2 linked regions of the Arabidopsis thaliana genome follow. The protein of the gene in region 1 interacts with the protein of each later gene in a pairwise test. Each region holds a gene or a part of one and is shown in the gene's direction. Other genes may lie near its edges. The genes, in order: LRL2 and ATCTH.

Evidence for each region.
Region 2: the proteins of LRL2 (region 1) and ATCTH interact in a two-hybrid assay, tested with the Arabidopsis thaliana proteins (one large-scale study listed by BioGRID).

What each region holds. Positions count from the first base shown.
Region 1 is NC_003075.7:15,078,451-15,083,784, reverse strand, and holds LRL2 (LJRHL1-like 2), read left to right. Parts: upstream 1-2,009; 5' UTR 2,010-2,034; coding exon 2,035-2,475; intron 2,476-2,592; coding exon 2,593-2,733; intron 2,734-2,850; coding exon 2,851-2,916; intron 2,917-3,260; coding exon 3,261-3,326; intron 3,327-3,596; coding exon 3,597-3,653; intron 3,654-3,990; coding exon 3,991-4,296; 3' UTR 4,297-4,667; downstream 4,668-5,334. UniProt on the Arabidopsis thaliana protein: Transcription factor that regulates the development of root hairs. Transcription factor that regulates the development of sperm cells.
Region 2 is NC_003071.7:11,039,354-11,044,002, forward strand, and holds ATCTH (Zinc finger C-x8-C-x5-C-x3-H type family protein), read left to right. Parts: upstream 1-1,977; 5' UTR 1,978-2,120; intron 2,121-2,212; 5' UTR 2,213-2,463; coding exon 2,464-3,411; 3' UTR 3,412-3,903; downstream 3,904-4,649.

The sequences.
Region 1 (5,334 bases):
GTTTTTTTAGTATAATTTAAGAGAATGAAATTACATTTAAGGAAATAAGATATGTTTATTTATTTGTATTAGACTAATAGAGTAAGAACCAAGACTTTAATCAGAGTTTGTCAGATTCATACAAGGTTAAATAATTCAATATTTTCCCAAGGCCTAGTTAAGCCCACCTTTTGATATTTACAGATTATATTTATAGTTCATTATAGGTGAATAAGTAGAACTTGGGAAATCAGACGTGATTGTGTACCAAACTAAGATCGTAAGAGCCAGTTTTTCAATTTGAACAAAGCCGTAATTTTTGAGGGAGTTCCTCAAATTTATTGGGTTTTGTCAGGATTGAGTCTACAATGGTTGTGCACCATATGGTTTATTTTCCTGCCTTCCTATTGTAAACGTATTGTTTTATATAAACAATAGAAAAAACTACTGATAATATGAAATAAAACTAATGTATCAGTATACTAGATGGGACCAATAGTTTATTTAACATAGTAGCATTTTTGTCTTTACTATCTGTTTATTTTTTCTATATGGAATTTAAATTATCATTCGTAACTTATTTTACACCCCCTTAGTTAATTATTTTGGTATACATTATGATTATTAAGTAAAAACAAAAATAATTATTGCATTCTCTTGATAATACTAATACATGAGATGATAGATCTCTCTTTCTGTTGTGTAGTACATCAATGCTTACCAACATTTGTAATTAATAAATGGGAAGTGTATTAAAGCCGATCTCTACCTCTTGTGAGTTTGTGCAAAACTCAGAATGTCCCATGTGCTTAATCATGCATATTGCATAATAATGTTCTTTACTTATCTTTGTCAATTTAATATTAATCTTAATCAAATACTATCAAACAGCTGAAAAACTGTATACGATGGTAAAAAAGAATTTTTAAGGTAAATGATGAATTTATTAGACCAAAAAATATTTAACAAGTATAAAAAATACATGGTAACATGACATGATGATGATGACGATGTTCTGTTATGTTATGTTCTCGTTTGAGAGGATCCTCTTTCCCAAATGTTAATCAGATCGGTTAAAACAACAATTTCATCGATCGGTATCATATTAATCAGAAAACAAAACAAGAATAATCTATAAAAAGTGATCTTATTCTTATCGAACACGAGTATCGTCTAAAGGGATAGCATGTTTGTAATCTTGGGGACAAATTGTAAACAGTAATATATGAAGAGAACATTATCATGAACCGTTGATGAATGAATGAATGTACCCAAATGAATAGAGTATAATTGTATGCATTTATACTGCATGTCTAAATATTATATGTCTAAAATAGTTGTCACAAGAAAAAGTGTTGGCTCTGGTGTTATCTTGTAGACTATTGCATTTTTGGACTAGCAAATATTTATCTCGTGGTACGTAGTTGCCGGGACAAGTTTAAAACTCCGACTGATTTTAATAAAAAAGATCAACAATAGAGATTTGTATTTTATTTTATTTTTGTAGTTGGCATCCTTAACATAAATCCAAAGAATTTTATTCAGCATTCAAATAAACCAATTTTAATGTTACCGAATGAAAATCTTATACAATTATCTTAAACATGAGTTTTCAAAAATGATTAATAGAAAAACCTATGTTATATATATAGAAATTTAATAATATACGGTATTAGAACCACATTCTGTCTTAAATAAAAAAAAAAAGATAATTAAACATACGTAAATCATTTGAGTGAAGTTAGTACAACCGAATTTTTTTTTTTTTTTTTTTTTTTTAGTACAACCGAATTTTAAGTTAGTTTTATTACTTTAAGCCTGTCATTCGATCGACTATGATATTTTTAGAAATATATGTTTCACTTACTTTTTGTAGTTACTACAAAATTGTGAAAAGTATATTATCAACAAAGGATTATAAAATTGAAGAAATCATGACTTCAGTGATCGAATTCTTTTAGTGATTAAAAAAATCAAGAAATTATGAAAATAACACGAAATAATTAATTTGCAAGGATGATAAAAAAAATGGTAAATTTGGTAAACGTATTTAACATGTCAAAGTCAAACCCTTCAAATCTCAAATATTACAATCTCCATCCCTCTTTTAAACACCATAAAGCCTTAAACCTCAAAAGACATTTCAACAACATTCATTTTCATTCTCACTCCCCACCAAAAAAAAAAAAAACAGAAGCCATGAACTCCTCGTCTCTTCTAACTCCTTCATCATCTCCTTCTCCACATCTTCAATCTCCTGCAACATTCGACCACGATGATTTCCTCCACCACATCTTCTCCTCCACTCCTTGGCCCTCATCCGTTCTCGACGACACTCCTCCACCAACTTCCGATTGTGCCCCCGTCACTGGATTCCACCACCACGACGCCGATTCAAGAAACCAGATCACTATGATTCCTTTGTCACATAACCATCCTAATGACGCTCTCTTCAATGGCTTCTCCACCGGATCTCTCCCTTTCCACCTCCCTCAAGTATAACTGATAATCCACTTTTTCTCTCTCATTTTGCAAATTACTACAAAAGAGAAAACATTCATTACATGTTCTTTTGTTAAGTCTTAATTTAATGTTTTCTGATATATATTTTAGGGATCGGGAGGTCAAACGCAAACGCAGTCGCAGGCGACGGCGTCAGCCACCACCGGTGGTGCAACGGCGCAACCTCAGACAAAGCCTAAAGTCCGAGCTAGGAGAGGTCAAGCCACTGATCCTCACAGTATCGCCGAACGGGTTCGATTTTTTTATTTAACTTTTCCTCATTATTCGCTTTTCAGTTACCGAGAAAAACGTATAAAGTTATTTAGATGATTAAGGTGATTATTGAAATATTTTGAAATTATGGAACAGTTACGGAGAGAGAGGATAGCGGAAAGAATGAAATCTCTTCAAGAACTTGTCCCTAATGGTAACAAGGTAAATTTTAATTATCTTCATTAGTCTAAATTTCGATCATCAAAGTTGATATAATTAAAAGAGTAGATTCAAATAATCCAATTTGTATTTTACATTTCTTTAATAGTATATATCTCAAAATGAATAATGTGTTAAGTATATGAGTTACACTGATGTATTTTAGTCTTGGACCACAAATTGCTACTAGTTTAGTAGGTTATCTAGAGATTTGGACTTTTATGCAGTCAAATGATTAAACACTGATTAGCTAATTAATTCTAAAATTTAATTGATAATAATACTTAATAAACAGATGCAGAATTGCTAACAAGGTTTTTTTTATTGTTAAAAATAATAATTAACAGACAGACAAAGCATCAATGCTCGATGAGATTATCGATTATGTCAAGTTCTTACAGCTCCAAGTCAAGGTGAATCTCTCTCTCTCTCTCTCTCGAATTATTTTATAAGATATGAGAATTTTAAATTTGTTTTTGTTATAAGAGTGGAAGCTTCTTTACCTTTGAGTTGACATTAGAATAAGAAATCGAATATGGGCCTCTGCAACTAAAATTCCATATGCTCCCTTTCCCTTTTATCTTGTAAATTATTTATCTTTTGCGTTTGTTAAAACATAGTGTTAGTGTATATCTACCTCTTCTTTTGCTTAATTATAATATTTGGCAAATTTATGTATGCAGGTACTAAGCATGAGTAGACTGGGCGGTGCTGCTTCTGCTTCTTCTCAAATCTCTGAGGTAATAATTTCAATTCCTTCTCTCTTAAAAGGGATGATAGGATGACGTGATCACTATATAGAATGAGATTTTATTTTTTAAACTAATTAAAAAGAGATGTAAATTATTGAAAAGGTTTTAGTTAGGGAATAATACTAATTAAAAAGTAGTTTTGTTTTCGACTTTCTAAAAACAAATGAAAAAGTTTTCCAAAAAATAGTAAAAAAAACAAAACAAGGACAGGGCACGCGTGCCTACTTTCTCTCCAACAAATACCAAAACCTCCCATTTCAACATCATCATAGCTTTAGGGTTTTGCTTTTCTTGTTTTCTTTTTAATTTTATTGAACATTTTCAGGATGCCGGTGGATCCCACGAAAACACCTCCTCCTCCGGCGAGGCGAAGATGACGGAGCACCAAGTTGCAAAGCTAATGGAAGAGGACATGGGATCAGCCATGCAATATCTACAAGGCAAAGGTCTTTGCCTCATGCCCATCTCGTTAGCCACCACCATCTCCACCGCCACGTGTCCTTCTCGTAGCCCCTTCGTTAAAGATACCGGCGTTCCTTTGTCTCCTAACCTATCCACTACAATAGTTGCTAACGGTAATGGCTCATCGTTGGTCACCGTTAAAGACGCTCCCTCCGTTTCCAAGCCGTGATAACGGCCATTTGTCCATTTCATTTTCCCTTTTTTGGGTGGGAAAGAGAGAAAAAAGTTTAGAAGACAAAGACAAGTGGGATAGGTGGTTTTGGTCAAAGTTTAGAAAGAATAAGGTCGTGTTTTCGGATACGACACCGTATTTGCGTACACTTTGGTTTTCTGTCTTTACCTACTACAAACCACCCATAAGCACACTCATGTTATCATGTTTTTTTTTTTTTGGTTTATAAAGTTATATCCTTAAATTTTCTATCACAGAACCGGTCTGGTCTAACAAATGTCGTCAATGATGATCATTTAGGCCAAAGAGTTTGTTTAAAACTCGTTATGCTTAAGTTTCTAAATCTACACAACACAGGAATGTAACACTTAAGCAGGCTTAATTTCACCGTTTTATATACTCACATACTGAAGAAATTTATTGTCAATCGCCAATGTGGTCAGCGGTAAGATCTCATATAAATCTTCCTAGTAGTGTTCAAGAAAATCACTATATATGCAGCAGGGGCTTAGAGTAGCATCTAACGTTTAGAACACCTAGTCAGGATCATTTTAGGTGGTTAAGAGTTTTGTAGAGTGAATTTGTATGGTATACCTCTACTATGACCTACTACTATAAACGAAATAACATGATCTTAATTTATCTTATAAGCACAAAAATAAACAGCAAGGACCGAGAAAACATATAAGATATAAACCATTTCCATATATACCAACGACCTCAAACGTTTACATGTTCAAACCGTCAGAATGTTTTCTACCACGATCGAAAAAAAATAGTCTGAATTGAAACAGAGGAAAATATAATATATCATTTCGTTGTAGAGTCTCTTCTTTTTATTGCTTTGGCATGAGGTTTGAGTTTTGACTTCAAGTACAAAAAATGAATTTATTTTGGGCCAAAAGCATGTGGGAAATAAATTACGGCGAAGTTTGGAAGTATTAGGCTTACAAGTACAATAGTCTGGGACACAATTTGACTAAAGGAGTGGGTGGCTACTAACTCCGCACCACACCCATTCATTTTTCTCATTTT
Region 2 (4,649 bases), on another chromosome or scaffold:
TGAGAAAGTGAATGTACGAATGGTTGTTGGGAGGCTATTGTGTCTCGTAGATATTTTAAATAATTTGAATGTTTACTAATATAGAATGTGTATTCAATTATAACTATTTAAATTATTTTATTGTTGGTTTAGACGCATTCTTAAACTTTCACATCATTCTCTCGTGACTATTATAATAGTTATCGTGCTCGATCAATCATCTCGTGACTATTATAATTTTATCAATAGTTTATGCATAAGAGAACTGATAACGATCATACTTCTTTTTGTCATTATGATAGCTTATGATTAATCATTGTTTATCCATACTTGACGCTTGTAAGTGAAACATATGTTTAAATTTTCAGGCTTAATTTAATAGCCACGAACCAAAAATTATCTTATAATAAAAGTTTGGTGCGATTTAAGAAGATTTGTCCCCAAAGCCCTATCTGAAAGAGGTCAAATTGGATTATTAAATTCAACATATTAATCAATTTGATATTTGTTTAATGGTCTGATTAGTGACAATTATAAGTCTAATATTGCGAATCTTTTGCAGTGAGTATTCCACGTGATATAGATAAGTTTCCCTTAATGGATAACCTTTGCATCAAACAATTAGAAAACAAATGGAAGAGTATCAATCAAGTAGATCTCGAAGCAGTGGACCCTAACACGATACTGGAACATGGACCAAACCTTAAAATATCGTCCAAATTGCTTATTTTCTGGAAGGTTACAAGTGCACAACACTCTAATAATATATGCCCCGCATAACAATTTTTAAAACTATTTCATCTTAGACCTCGGATATTTTGAAGGAAGCACATTTTCTTGAAAATCACTAGGTGACTTGTGTTTCTTTCTTTGGAGCATGTCAATTTACTCCCATCAGCTGGAGAGCCAAAAGTTAAAATTAATGTTCGAAATTTATTTCATAAAAGCTACGTACGTTGCATCCTTCCATGATCTAGAAAAAATGGGGGACAATAACCAAATTTATTCACTCTTGTCAGGTCATGGGGAGTAGTCTACGACCTTGAAAGTCACGTGACAAGTAATATATACTGTACCGTCCAAATATTTTCTTACTGTAATGTCTTATGTTTCATATCGCTAGACCCTTAATATTAGTGTGGACTAATTCATATAATTGCAAATAAAATAGTATGATTCTACGATTCTTCAAAATGATCTAATAGTTACAGTCTGGTCAAAATGATCTAAATCTTTATAAACAAATAACAGCTACGGAATAATTAACACAATTTTTGGTGATAAACTTTGAGTTATGATAGAAATTTTTTTTTTTTCAATTTTTAATGTGTATCTTAATTTCTTCAATTAATGTATCCCTATGTTTTATGTGACTATATAACTTTTGGTTAGTGATACTCCAAAAATGTTGTTTTAGGTTTTGACACACATATTAATAATTTGTTTTATTTTTTACTTTACAAAATTTCTTATTGGTTAAAACATAAATCACTGCAAATAAAACTTTAATTTTGTTTGTAGTCAAAATTAGCTTTTAAAAATGTAAATTGATATTTATTCTAATTATTTTTTTAATGTTCTGACAATTAATTTAAAACGGAAAGCGTAATAAAGTAGATGTTGGGGCTGATTGGTAACGGCTGTTACTTTTGAACTCTAAATATTTCGGATGTTACGACTTTGACTGTAAAAATTTTGGTTGTAAAAATTTTGACGATAGAAACTTTAACTGTTAAAGTCTGATTGGTACAAAAAAATCACAATTATTTTTATTATTATTTAATATTTTTTATAAATATTATTTATGCTAAAAAATCAATTTATTTGGTAAAATAGTAACTAAAATAAATTTATTTTAAAAAAATACAAAATTCATTTTACAAATTCACTATTTTAAATATTTAAATTGGATCTGAAAAGAACAGAAAAAATAAAATTCGAATTAATCAATCGATTTTTTAATGATAAAATATAAATAAATTTGAAAAGAGTTTTGAAATTTTATGGATAAAGAAAAAATATTTTTATTTTGTTTTATTATTCTCTTTTAAAGTTAAAGACTTTAGGAAAAAAACAAAAGAAAAAAAGTAAATGGAGAGAAAAAAGCTTTTAAAACTTTAAAAATTAATAAAGTTTTAAAAGTGTGATTGATTAAAAAATAAATTTGAAAATTTTTAAATATTTTTAAAGCTTTGAAAACATTTTTTTTTTTTTTGGGGGGACAAATATGAAGAAAAAAAAAAAAAAAAAAAGACGAACATGAAGGGGAAAAAAACAAAAGACGAACAAAAATTGGAGATTTTTTCTTACACGTGTCATCATCTGCAGATTTGCGCTTATTAATTGTTTACCGTACGGTATTGTGGATAGGGTCAAGATTTTCATAACTTTACCGTAGTTAATATTTGACCCAACCATGGTTAAAATAAAGCAGTTTATATCACAGACACACACCTCTCTCTCTTCTAGACTCACTAAACAAAAATGATGATCGGCGAAAATAAAAACCGGCCACATCCAACGATCCATATCCCTCAATGGGATCAAATCAACGATCCAACGGCCACAATCTCTTCACCATTCTCTTCCGTCAACCTTAACAGCGTTAACGACTACCCACACTCTCCGTCACCGTATCTCGACTCCTTCGCTTCTCTCTTCCGTTACCTCCCGTCAAACGAGTTAACAAACGATTCAGACTCATCAAGTGGCGACGAGTCATCACCACTCACCGACTCATTCTCCTCCGACGAGTTTCGCATCTACGAGTTCAAAATCCGGCGATGCGCTCGAGGTCGATCTCATGATTGGACGGAGTGTCCGTTCGCACATCCCGGAGAAAAAGCTCGACGACGTGATCCGAGAAAGTTTCATTACTCCGGCACCGCTTGTCCTGAGTTTCGTAAAGGAAGTTGTAGAAGAGGTGATTCGTGTGAGTTCTCTCATGGAGTTTTCGAGTGTTGGCTCCATCCTTCTCGTTACCGTACTCAGCCGTGTAAAGACGGAACTAGCTGCCGGAGAAGAATCTGTTTCTTCGCTCATACGACGGAGCAGTTACGTGTATTACCTTGTTCGTTAGATCCAGATCTTGGATTCTTCTCAGGATTAGCTACTTCTCCGACTTCGATTCTTGTTTCTCCTTCGTTTTCACCACCGTCGGAATCTCCGCCGCTTTCTCCGAGTACCGGTGAACTTATTGCGTCGATGAGGAAAATGCAATTGAACGGAGGTGGTTGTTCGTGGAGTTCTCCGATGAGATCTGCAGTTAGGTTACCTTTTTCGTCGTCTCTGCGTCCGATTCAGGCGGCAACGTGGCCGAGGATAAGAGAGTTTGAGATCGAAGAAGCTCCGGCGATGGAATTTGTGGAATCTGGGAAAGAGCTGAGAGCGGAGATGTATGCAAGACTCAGTAGAGAGAACTCACTCGGTTGAGTCGACTTGGATCGAGTCTTTGATGACGTGGCGACTCGATCTGATTTTGTGAATATTTTAGAGATTTTTAAGGTGTTGTGGATAAATGACGTGGCGGGTCGATCTTAGTGACGGTACAATCGGACGATGAAGAAAAAAGCGTTAAGAGTAACAAAAAAAGGAAGAATTTGTAAAGAGATGATAATGAGAGAATTTGAGAGCTATTCTTCTGGCTTTTTTCTCTGCAGTTTTTTTTATTGTTTTCGTTATTTTCTTGTTTTTATTTTGGTTTTCGGCTTTATTTTGTTTGTTGTTTATTAATGTTATATCATTTTGTAATTAGTTCTCAAATGTATTTGGATAACATCTTAGTTTGAGACTTTAGAAAAGAACATTTCATTTGTTGTTTCCTTCTTATCGATTTCGTTGTTATAATAGTAAGAGGATATAAATATTTTTTGTTGGCCTGTTCTTTTTCCAAACGCTGCGATCATATCCAGCGACCAAAAAAACAGTTGCTTAACACACAATTACGTTGAAGTCTGTAGAAAGTTATGTGAAGAGGAGTCGCTCGATTTTAAAAACAGCGACCTATAAGGCATATACACGTGTCGCCAAAAAATAACAGCAACTTAACATTTTCACTAAGGACGCCGCCGGCGTCCATATTGAACGACTGTTTTTGTATCTCCGTTATAATTTTTGCTTTTCGTCGGAGTCCCTATTGCTGTCACAGCGATTAATAAACGAACAAGCCCAACAATTAATCAGAGAAAATAGTCTCGAGAAAATAACTCTCTTGCATCATATCTCTAATGAACATCAAATCTGCCTACAAATTCTATTTTTAAGTAAACATATTCCTTTTGACAAAAAAAAAAAACTATTTGGCTATTTCCAATGGTAGACTAGATCCACTCTGAAAATAGACTAATGACTAATGAATACTCATAATTTGGATAAAATTTTCATTTTCAGAATGATTTTCAAATTTAAATATGTTTTCAGTAATACACGAACAAATCTATATGTTTTAGGTATACATTGGGCATTTAATCAATACTAATATGGTTATCCAGTTAATTGAAATTTAAAAATACAACAATAATGTATTAAATTAAAAAATACAGTGACATAACAAACGATAATTTTATACATAATAAGTTATGAAATTTAACATAAAAACTCAAACAAACATAACAGAACATAGACTAGTAAACAGTTTTGTTTAAAAACTAATAACAAAAAAGAAATAGAAT